Xenopus tropicalis: one gene and its partners. The protein of the gene in region 1 interacts with the protein of each later gene in a pairwise test. Links are inferred from orthologs where the notes say so. Each region holds a gene or a part of one and is shown in the gene's direction. Other genes may lie near its edges.

Region 1 (4,206 bases):
CATACTCTGCCTTCCCTATGCTGCCTGTGTGTGCCATACTCTGCCTGCCCTACCCTTCCTGTGTGTGCCATACCCTCCCTGACCTATGCTGGCTGTATGTGCCATACTCTGCCTTCCCTATGCTGCCTGTGTGTGCCATACTCTGCCTGCCCTACCCTTCCTGTGTGTGCCATACCCTCCCTGCCCTATGCTGCCTGTGTGTGCCATACCCTCCTTGCCCTATGCTGGCTGTATGTGCCATACTCTGCCTACAGTACCATGTCTGAGGTGTGAAGAAGTGAACAATGGGAGTGACTACAGTCTGAGCCTGAGGTGTGAACACTGCAGGGGTTGAACAATGCAGAGATTAAAAGGTGTGAACAACACAGGGGATTACATGTTTAAACAATACAGGGGGATTACAGCCTGAATCTGAGGTGAGAACCATGCAGGGGGGCCAGTTAATCACAGTACTGATACCATTTAAATCTTACACAAAGGTAAGCCATCAAAGCAGCCAGACAGGTGGGGGGCCACACAGATGGGGGTCGTGGGCCGCCAGTTGGACAGCACTGAGCTAATGGAATGGCCCAAACAAGCTATTGCAGGCCAGCAGTAAAGTTACACTACTTTACATGATATTACACAGGCAAAAGCCAACACTCTGGAGCTCATTTATTAACGCCGATTGCAGAATGCAAAAATCAGCACACTTTAAAAAAAAAAAAAAATGCAAAATTCCTTCCCACAATTCAGAGCATAATTGCAAAACTGCGCGCCAGACGCTGTAAAGGCATACATCGGCACCGGGTAGTAAAATGCGCCCAAGTGGGCAAGTTACCCCTGTGAGATACAGAGCAGCACATGGGTAGACATTAACAATTCTATAAGCGCATTATTCTTAGGAGTCCAGCAGTCATAAACAAACCTTTGTAACGCAACGCTAGCGCAAACACCACATAAAAACGCAAAACTTGTAAATGTACTAAATGAATGAATCCGTTTCCCTATGGGTCCCCTTCCCCGACTCCAACTAATAACAAACCCAAGGGATGCCCTTCCCGCCTAAGTCCTTCCTCCTCGGCCAATCACAACTTGAAGGCACTCTTGATTGACTGCATTGGGGGCGTGGTTTTTAGTAGCTCTCTGGGCGTGGGCTGCCCACATTGTTCCTGAGCGGTGAATGCAGCAGCTGCATAGAGAGCAACGCCCAAGCCGCCCATTCATCTGCTCCCTGCTGCTCTGCTTGTATGTGCTCAGCTCACATAGCGGCACCGGGCAGCGCCACACATTGCCTGCTGAAAGATCTGTTGCTCTTCGCAAAAATTGCGCCTTTTGCCCTAATGCTTGATCTAGGTATTATGTTCTATGCGAGGGAGAGCAGCTGACTTTAATGTGGGGGGGATCACCTGCTACAGTCCTGCGGTAAGTAGCTGCGATCGCTGGGCGTTCCTGATTGGGTCTTTGGTTTCCTGTTGCAGGGGCTGCAGAAATGATTTTCCTATTTATTCTTATATATACAAACGGGGGTGGGATATTGTAATAGTTGAAGCTGGGTTTTTGTTTCAGTTTTGCTATGCTGTTTGCTGTATTAGAGAAGGAAAGTTGCCAACACTATTTATGGGAACTTTAATTGGGGCAAATAACTGTGGTGCTAGCCCTTTTCCCTTCCCAGCTGCAGTCTTGTAAATCAACCCACTTGTTAGTATGGTTCTGCCGCCCCCTGCGGAGTAATGAGTTGATGATGTTATTGATTGATGTGATTCTGGGCTTACCAAGCTGTGACCCTGTTGTTGAACTACAGCTGGGTGCCAGCACCCTCCCAATAGGTTTAGGTTGAACATCTCTGAGGTATGTGCTAAAGCAACATTTTTCCTCCAAGGGGATTTTTTAAATCTGGGGTCCCAGGGCTAATTCCGTGCCATCTCTGTCATGCCCTAATACAGTGGATGTTTAGTAGTGCCAGCCCAGGATAGGACATTAACATTGGAATTTAGGCTGGTGCCTATTGCCATACTTTGCCCAGTCTGCCGTTATATGGGCAGGAATTGAAATGATGGGAAGGCTATTATGACTGGTACATTCCTTGTTCTATTAATAAAAGGAAATCTGATTGTGAGCTCTTGCACCAAGATAATCACTGTCAGGACTGTGGTAAAAGAGGAATTTTGACCAATGCACTCATCTCAGGGAGAACATGGGAATCAATTACATATTAGAATGATGTCGAAAGCAGAATTCTAAGACAATTTGCCATTGATCTTCATTTTTATTTTTTTTTTTTGTGGTTTTTGAATCATTTACATTATTTTCTGCAGCTCTTGACTGCTATCTGGTTTCTAGGCATTAATCACCCTAGCAACCAGTTTTGAAGCCAACATGGATTAGGAGAGGACCTGAAAAGAAAAATAAGCAATAACATATAAGAATCACAATAACATTCAGCTTCACCAATTACTGAAGGGACCCCCCCAGACCCCTGCAACACAGCACAGCCCTGTTGGGTATGGGATGTTGCTCTCTCATTGTCCTTGGCTGACCCTGGCTACTTGCCTGTAACAAACCTCCTCTGAGCTCTATTGATGCTACCAAGGAGCCTATGCTGGAACGATATGTCACAGGCTGAAATATTGATGGGATGACGATAATGCAATTAAGGAGAATTTGCTTTTTGAGGTCTCTCTAGGCTTTCCAGTGTTTTGTTCATATTGCTATGGGGGAGGGTCTTATGTCAATAACAGAGCAGTTCTCTAAGGTTTCTGCTGCCGCATCTCTTGCTGTGTGATGTCATGTACCTACCTGTTGGCTGCTGATTCATTGCTGTGCCTCCCGGTACATTGCAGAGCCACAGCGTAGAGCAATAGAAAAGCAAACTGGGATATTTCCAATATTACCAATATTAGTGCACTGGGCGGGACCCAAGGCCAGCAGCTGCATGGGGATTCAGAGAAAAGAGTAAGAGGCAGCAAGCAGGCCCAGCCCCAGAGAAACTTCCACACCTGAGAGTCACCAGTCATATGGTAAAAAAATCAGAAATATTGTGGCTACAGGTAGGAAGATTGTCTGTGGTTTTTAAGTTATATGTGAATGTATCTGCTATTTAGCCAGTAATTTCCAGACTAACTTCTGCTACATTGTTTCAGGAGTCAGAACCAGAATTGCAGTGAATGTAAACAGCCAGTCAGATGCTGCTTTTTAAATTTACAAACAATTGAACATGTTTAATGTGTATTGGAAAGATGTGTTACTGCATATTCTCTTTCATTATTCAAAAAAAGCACTTTCTGGTTAGACTTTATGTATTAAGCTAAATTCACATTATGATACATCTGCCCCCTAGTTTTTTTTTTTTTTTTTTTCAGCAGGATTTGGATATTACTTGTGTGCCATATTACTTGTATGAACTGTTTCCTACACCACTCCCTTTAGGCTCACAGTGTAATGAAACACTTCCCTTAAAATCCCTCTGCTTATCATAGTGGGAGTTTCACAGATAGTGGGTGGTTCACAGATTCTCTTGAAAGCAGAGGGACGTCAAGTCCCAGAAATCCATCACTTCAGTGATTTAAGTGGAACAAGGTGATGGTGGGGTGAGATCTGCTGAATGTAAAGTGAAATTATAAAAAAAACATAAAAAATGAGGACCAACTGCAAATTTTCTTTCTTAGTATAATTTACAGGGTAATATTCAAAGTTAATTTAAAGGTGAACTATCCCTCTACTGCCCGCTCATGGGCTGATTATTTTTTATTATACTCTTTGCTGATTGGTTGGATATTGTACCATGTGGCTACACAAACAAATGGCAACTGCACTGATTCACAATCGCCCCCCCCCCCATCCCCAATCCCACAATCTTTGGAAGGGCCCGGCGCAGAGTAGAAAACCCACCCGGATACCATAACTGTACCAGTTCATTTCTTATTTTAGCCAATGGCTGTTGGTTTCCATATCAGAATACTTCACTGTTGAGCAGGACCCTCTTTATACCTAATGCATCATTCAGTTTTTGTATGCTTAACATGTATATCCTTCTGTTGTACAACACTATTGCATATGTTGGCGCTTTATATGTATGTGTACATAATGATTTTCTAGATTGACTTCAAGCTTAAGTACCACTTAAACCCTCATATGTAATAAAAGGCACTAAGTTTGCCCAGGAGCAGTAACTCATAGCAACCAATGAGATGTTTGCTTTTAAACAGGTGACCCGTAAATTCTACC
Region 2 (3,655 bases), on another chromosome or scaffold:
ACTTTTGCTTTGTTGCTTTACTTCTCTGCTACACCCCAGCATTTGCTTCCCTTTAACTGTAATACCTAGGTGTGTTTGGGTGTGTGTGTCCATAAATAATATCTCTGAATATACACACATACAGTATTACCTAGGTGTCTGTGGGTGTATACTTTATAATGGACAAAGAAGCAGCAATAAAATTCATTTAAATACATTGGGATAAAATGCTGTCCATTATGAATAATTTTAAGCACCCAGGCACATTATATGTATTTTTTTGTAATGTGTGCCTCTTGACCCACAATTGTCCACTCTCTATTGCACCTTGTTGCGTGCTTCACTATTTGTATTTCCTCTTCTCCTCCTGGCAGTCTCTCTTCTTACGTGTGGTCCCATATGAATGTCTGGGCTCAGTGTGGTCTCGAAGGGACAAGGTTGGAAGTCCCTGGAACCGATGCCAGTCAGTCAGAGAGACTGTTCAGCACTTTAATCGTCTTTCTGGGGCAGTGACTTCTGCGTGTGTTCGAGACCCCCAACTAAAACCGCAACAAAGAGCTCGAATCATAGAAAAGTGGGTGAGAGTGGCAGAGGTGAGAAAGAAATGGCTTGCAGATTGGTCTTACTTTTTGGCTCTCTTAAACCAGCTATTATCTTTATATTGTGCAATAATTGATAAGGTTTGGGAGGTGAAATACATGTACATGAAAAATTGTTAGCTATCTTCTGAGTTTTGTCTATTTTAGGTGTTATTTTTACAGAACTTGAAAATGCAAATCGAGGCAAATACATTTTTAGCACTGTATGTCCATTTTAGAAACCGTATGGGATTAGCAAAGTATGACATTAGTATTAGGTTGTCCTTTTGTTTCAGCAATTCAGAATGCAGGAATGAGGTATTTTATGGTAATTATAGTGTATTTCAAGAGCCTTTAACAAAAAAACATTTTTTAAAACTATATTTTAATATTTTACCCAGTTTGAATTTATGTCTTGCCTACACACTTGCTATCTATTGCCTAAATATTTATTTTTCTATAAAGTCTTCTGGTAATATAACCCATCTCCTTTTCTCCTATGACATTTTTCTCAATGGCTTCTGTGTGTTTTTGTAGGAGTGCCGGTCCCTCAGGAATTTCTCTTCTGTATATGCCATTATCACTGCATTGCAAAGCACTGCTGTACACAGACTGAAGAAAGTATGGGCAGAAACATCCAGGTAAACAGATATCTGCCTCCATTAGCACGTTATTTACAGGAAGAGTTTATTTTGTGTGTAGGCACAACCAGCTAAAGGAAGACATGATTGTAAAACTCTATCAAGGCTGTTCTTAAATTCTGGGTTCCATTTCACTCCATTGCCCTCTACTTTGCAGTTTGCTCGCAATTCATCAGAGCAGGCTGAACTGGCACATTGGTTCTTGCCACAAGGCATTAAGGACTGTTAATATATTTATATTATATTTTTGCTTAATGAAACCACTAACATGTAGTTTGCATCACTTCCTGTACAATTTTTCAATATATGAAATTAGTTACTCTAAGTATGAAAATGTAGTGAAGTAAACAAAAATAAGGTGATGTTTACCAGTGTTTTTCTTTTGTTGTAAATCTCTGTTTTATTAAGTTTTCAGGTATCTTAAAAAAAAGGGTACAGATGTAAAAGAAGGATAGGGACAGGGAAGAAAGCAATTATAAAGATACAGTTCCAGCTCCGCAAAAAAGTGCATTTGATGTCAACCAATGTTATGTCTAGAAGTATCAGCTGGGTTTTTCTTAGCTAATAGTGGTGTAGAGGCCCATCTGCTACTAGTGAGCATTGGTTACTGGCAAAGAGAGGCACCACTGTTCTTTGCCAATAGGCAGCAGAGGTCAAAATGGCAATGTGGTGTAGGTCTAAGTGAGTAAATCCTGGGCTGAATACACACCACTGAAAAAACATTCCTAAATTGTCATTATAAAGCTACATCAGCCAGTGTAATACTTAAAGGTGGGTAAGAAAAGCAGTGTCATGTATATTAATTGTGCTAAAACAGGCTAAGAAATGGTAGGATGATACTCACAGAATCATGTTCATAATGTTGCATAGGGAAATTCTACGCAGTTACCAGGAAATGAGGGAGGTTTTCTGTGAAAAAGATAATTATGCCCGAATGAGAGAGCTGCTTTTTCAGGTGAGAATCAATTATTCTCTTTGATTTGGACTATAATATTCATAGTCATTGTAGCCAAACCTATAATAATATGACATATATCTATAGTCTATTTTGTGTTTTTAATCCATATTGTAGCCTCATGACCAACCTGAAATAACCTCCAAGAGACAACAGCCTCGCACTAGGGAATCCAGAGCAGTGGTACATTTTTTTCCCCTCTTTCTCTCTTTCCTTTTATATCTCATTATCTTATTGTCCAGCATCAGTTCAACTTCAAACATTTCCTTTCCTACAGCAGGGGGTAGTTCCATACCTTGGAGTGTTCCTCACTGACCTGGTCATGTTGGATTCAGCCATAAGGGACCAGCTAGAGGTAAGAATCAGTGCTTTTCTGTGACCAGTTCTAGATTAGCTAGCAGCTTTTGCTAAAGTAAAAAAAAAGTAACACTGGTAAAGGTCTTATTGAAGGGGAATGCCACCCATTTTATTTACATAGTAATAGCATGGTTGCTCTCTGAACATCAGTTTGGGTATGTAATCATAATAATTTCAATAAAAATATTTTTTACTTCCGTACAAATAAATATAAAATCATCAGGTAATTCTTTTTGTGGTGCTGTATTGATATAAAACACTGATTGCTCAGTTATCTATACAATGTACTCAATTCAGAACTAGCAATAGCTTGCCATGCATCATTGTATTTGTTTATATAATTTATAATCTGTGGCTTTCAAAATGATTTACCAGGCAGCAATATCCCATGCAGGCTTACTGATTCAGTAATGCTTATGGAATACTAAAAAGAAAGGGCACAAACAATTATTGCTGCTTTTAGTGTTGTGTAATCACATTATAAACATAAGTTCACTGATGCAATTATTAGAGATGATATTCTGTTGTATGCTGGGCTTATAGGTCTGAGGCTAAGCTTTTTACTTACAGATACTTTGGCCACTGACTGTGGGCTGACATAACCCCTCTCGTTTTTCTTTTCATGCATATAGTGCAAGGGCATAGTTTTGATCTCTCCACTTGTCTTAATAAGGAGTAAGGTGTTTTCTTGCCTCTGGCTTTAAACATGACATTATTTGCCAATAAACATATTCTGATGCACAATACTGTTTTCCTTTTAGAATGGTTACCTGAACTTTGAAAAAAGAAGAAAGGTGAATTCCTAGATTCCTACAGTATTATGCCTCTATTAACTTTACATTCTGTGACTTTATCAACTGTATACTCTCTCGCTTGCTCTCTCTTTACTACTATAATATTATTATAATTTCCTTCACACAGGCCCGGATTTGTGGCGAGACAAATGCCCAGGCCTAGGGCGGCACAATCTTAGGGGCGGCATGCCACCCTCCCGCAGCGCAATATTTAAATTTTGCTCCCATATGAAGCAATGCTGGGGGTGGGGGGTGGGTAGGGGGCGCAGAATGGGGTTGGCACCTTCGCAAAGAAGACGACTCCCTTTATAATATAGCTTTTCTGTAATTTAAAACATTCCTATACTGCTA
Region 3 (3,226 bases), on another chromosome or scaffold:
AAAAAGCCTTGGCAGTGAGGTCATATATCCTCATTCTTCTCCCAGCTCCTGAAATATGTAGGTCATGTCTTATAAGCTGAGCAAGGGTCTCAACTGCCAATGCAAAAATCAAAGGAAATGTCAAAATGTAGTTGTTGGGACTGGATTCTAACTTTTTTTTTTTAAATTTTTATACAATACAATATTATACATTAACTTATGGTGAATCATCTGGACCTGCTTAAAACAGTGTGTCCCCAACCAGTGCCTCTTGAGCAACATATTGCTCACCGACCCTTTTAGATGTTGCTCCCAGGGGCCTCAAAGCAGGTCCTTATTTTTGAATTCCTGGCATAAAGTCAAGCTTTAGTTGCATAAAAAACATTTCCAAATAGAGCCTCCTGTAGGCTACCAATTTCCTGGGTGCCCCCAGGAAACTTTTACATGATTTTGTATTTGAATGTGACTCATGGATTAAAAAGTTTGGCGACCCCTGGCTAAGAGTTATGGCTGTAAGAGAGTGATACACAGGAGTTCTTCTGCTGCTTTATGCAGCACACAAAACATGGCATCTCAGAAGGCATGGCCTTTTGTTTTATTAAGCAGAAAGCTCTGAACATTTCAGAAAATTTTGTATCCTGCTTTGAAAAGTACAATTATAATAGTTATTGGTTTAAAAACTGCAGGGCATCCTTACTTTGATACAGCTACTTAAACTTAGCTTTCTTTACTCTACAGAGTGGTTCTTTGAGTTTGGTTTTGTGATACCCAATTCCATGAACACCTGGCAGTCCCTAATAGAGGCTGCGCCTGAATCTCAGATGATGCCAGCAAATGTTTTAACGTAAGTTCCTTTAGAAATTTTACATCTGGGTTTACCAAAATCTGACCTGTGTAAAATCATTTTATTTATTTATTCCCAAGAGCTAAATAATAACCAGTGATCAAAACAGGGCTAAGGCCTAATGCCAGATGAGTCGTAGGCGGATATTTTTGAAAAAGCGTTTGCTGAAAATTCCGCCCTACGCCTCCTACTTGTGCCTGCACCCGAATGAATGGAATCCGCTCAGGTGCAGGTACATGTAGCCGATACACGCATAAAAACGCGAGACTTTGCATTCTCTCGCGTTTTTATGCGTATATTGGCTACATGTGCCTGCACCCGAGCATATCTCATTCATTCCAGTGCAGGCACAAGTAGGAGGTGTAGGGCGGAATTTTCAGCAAGCGCTTTTCTGCTTGCCGAAAATAACCGCTCTACGACTCGTCTGGCAATTAGCCTTAAGGTGTATATTTTCCATGACTGTGCCATTATTTTACACTTCCTCTGACCTGGCATCCAATAAACTCTTATTTGCCAATTAAGTAAATAATTAACTGGTATAAAAAGTGGTGGTGTTTAGTGCTGGGGTTTTTTGTTATTTAGAAAAACCTTTAAAATCTTTTTTTTTTCTTTTTTATGCCCAATTTTTACACTCTACTTCACATATGCCCAAATTTATTACTAAGCTCTATTGCTCTGCATTATTTTACATGGCATTCTGTTACAACTTGTGATGTTATCTCTTCACCATTTTCGTACATAGTTTATAATTAGGGCCCATTTGTCTCTTTGTTTTGACACATACATTTAGTTCTTTCTAAAAGGGCCTCAATGCAGAATCATAATCACAAATTCTGTTAAAAAAAAAAAAAGTAAAATACAAAAAAACCTACAATTTACATTGTCCTGTTGTCACAAACCATGCATTGAAAAAAAAAAAAAGTGAAATTATTCATGGCTGTAAAATTTGCAAGAAAATGGATTATCGCTGCTATTTACACTAACATACGTCTCATTTCTGTGCAATTTCCTGTTCGTCAGAATGGCGTCATGTAATAGTGCACATTTCGTCTTTTACATACAGAATTTATGGGCAAGGGCAATGCATACCTCGTGGTTTTTTTTTTTTTATACAAAGGAGATTATACAGTGGAGGAAATAATTATTTGACCCCTCACTGATTTTGTAAGTTTGTCCAATGACAAAGAAATGAAAAGTCTCAGAACAGTATCATTTCAATGGTAGGTTTATTTTAACAGTGGCAGATAGCACATCAAAAGGAAAATCGAAAAAATAACTTTAAATAAAAGATAGCAACTGATTTGCATTTCATTGAGTGAAATAAGTTTTTGAACCCCCCTCTAACAAAAAAAGACTTAATACTTAGTGGAAAAACCCTTGTTTGCAAGCACAGAGGTCAAACGTTTCTTGTAATTGATGACCAAGTTTGCGCACATTTTAGGAGGAATGTTGGTCCACTCCTCTTTGCAGATCATCTCTAAATCCCAAAGGTTTCGAGGCTGTCTCTGTGCAACTCTGAGCTTGAGCTCCCTCCATAGGTTTTCTATTGGATTAAGGTCCGGAGACTGACTAGGCCACTCCATGACCTTAATGTGCTTCTTCTTGAGCCACTCCTTTGTTGCCTTTGCTGTATGTTTTGGGTCATTGTCGTGCTGGAACACCCATCCACGACCCATTTTCAGTTTCCTGGCAGAGGGAAGGAGGTTGTCGTTCAGGATTTCACGATACATGGCTCCGTCCATTTTCCCGTTAATGCGAATAAGTTGTCCTGTGCCCTTAGCAGAAAAACACCCCCAAAGCAAAATGTTTCCACCCCCATGCTTGACGGTGGGGACGTTGTTTTGGGGGTCATAGGCAGCATTTTTCTTCCTCCAAACACAGCGAGTTGAGTTAATGCCAAAGAGCTCTATTTTGGTCTCATCAGACCACAGCACCTTCTCCCAGTCACTCACAGAATCATTCAGGTGTTCATTGGCAAACTTCAGATGGGCCTGCACATGTGCCTTCTTGAGCAGGGGGACCTTGCGAGCCCTGCAGGATTTTAATCCATTGCGGTGTAATGTGTTTCCAATGGTTTTCTTGGTGACTGTGGTCCCTGCTAATTTGAGGTCATTAACTAACTCCTCCCGTGTAGTTCTAGGATGCTTTTTCACCTTTCTCAGAATCATTGACACCCCACGAGGTGAGATCTTGCGTGGAGCCCCAGAGCGAGGTCGATTGATGGTCATTTTGTGCTCCTTCCATTTTCGAACAATCGCACCAACAGTTGTCACCTTCTCTCCCAGCTTCTTGCTAATGGTTTTGTAGCCCATTCCAGTCTTGTGCAGGTCTACAATTTTGTCTCTGACATCCTTGGACAGCTCTTTGGTCTTTCCCATGTTGGAGAGTTTGGAGTCTGCTTGA

Evidence for each region. The genes of interacting proteins can lie anywhere in the genome.
Region 2: the proteins of hras (region 1) and rgl2 interact in binary tests that used the Homo sapiens proteins (3 or more experiments, as listed by UniProt). The link is inferred for Xenopus tropicalis from reciprocal best matches to the Homo sapiens genes HRAS and RGL2.
Region 3: the proteins of hras (region 1) and retinal rod rhodopsin-sensitive cGMP 3',5'-cyclic phosphodiesterase subunit delta interact in a two-hybrid assay, tested with the Homo sapiens proteins (2 studies listed by BioGRID). The link is inferred for Xenopus tropicalis from reciprocal best matches to the Homo sapiens genes HRAS and PDE6D.

The regions. Positions count from the first base shown.
Region 1 is NC_030680.2:34,323,593-34,327,798, reverse strand, and holds the start of hras (GTPase HRas), read left to right. Parts: upstream 1-1,292; 5' UTR 1,293-1,404; intron 1,405-4,206. UniProt on the Homo sapiens protein: Involved in the activation of Ras protein signal transduction. Ras proteins bind GDP/GTP and possess intrinsic GTPase activity.
Region 2 is NC_030684.2:72,120,060-72,123,714, reverse strand, and holds part of rgl2 (ral guanine nucleotide dissociation stimulator-like 2), read left to right. Parts: intron 1-353; coding exon 354-572; intron 573-1,094; coding exon 1,095-1,198; intron 1,199-2,068; coding exon 2,069-2,153; intron 2,154-2,270; coding exon 2,271-2,336; intron 2,337-2,430; coding exon 2,431-2,508; intron 2,509-3,271; coding exon 3,272-3,304; intron 3,305-3,655. UniProt on the Homo sapiens protein: Probable guanine nucleotide exchange factor. Putative effector of Ras and/or Rap. Associates with the GTP-bound form of Rap 1A and H-Ras in vitro.
Region 3 is NC_030681.2:101,155,244-101,158,469, reverse strand, and holds part of retinal rod rhodopsin-sensitive cGMP 3',5'-cyclic phosphodiesterase subunit delta, read left to right. Parts: intron 1-717; coding exon 718-823; intron 824-3,226. UniProt on the Homo sapiens protein: Promotes the release of prenylated target proteins from cellular membranes. Modulates the activity of prenylated or palmitoylated Ras family members by regulating their subcellular location.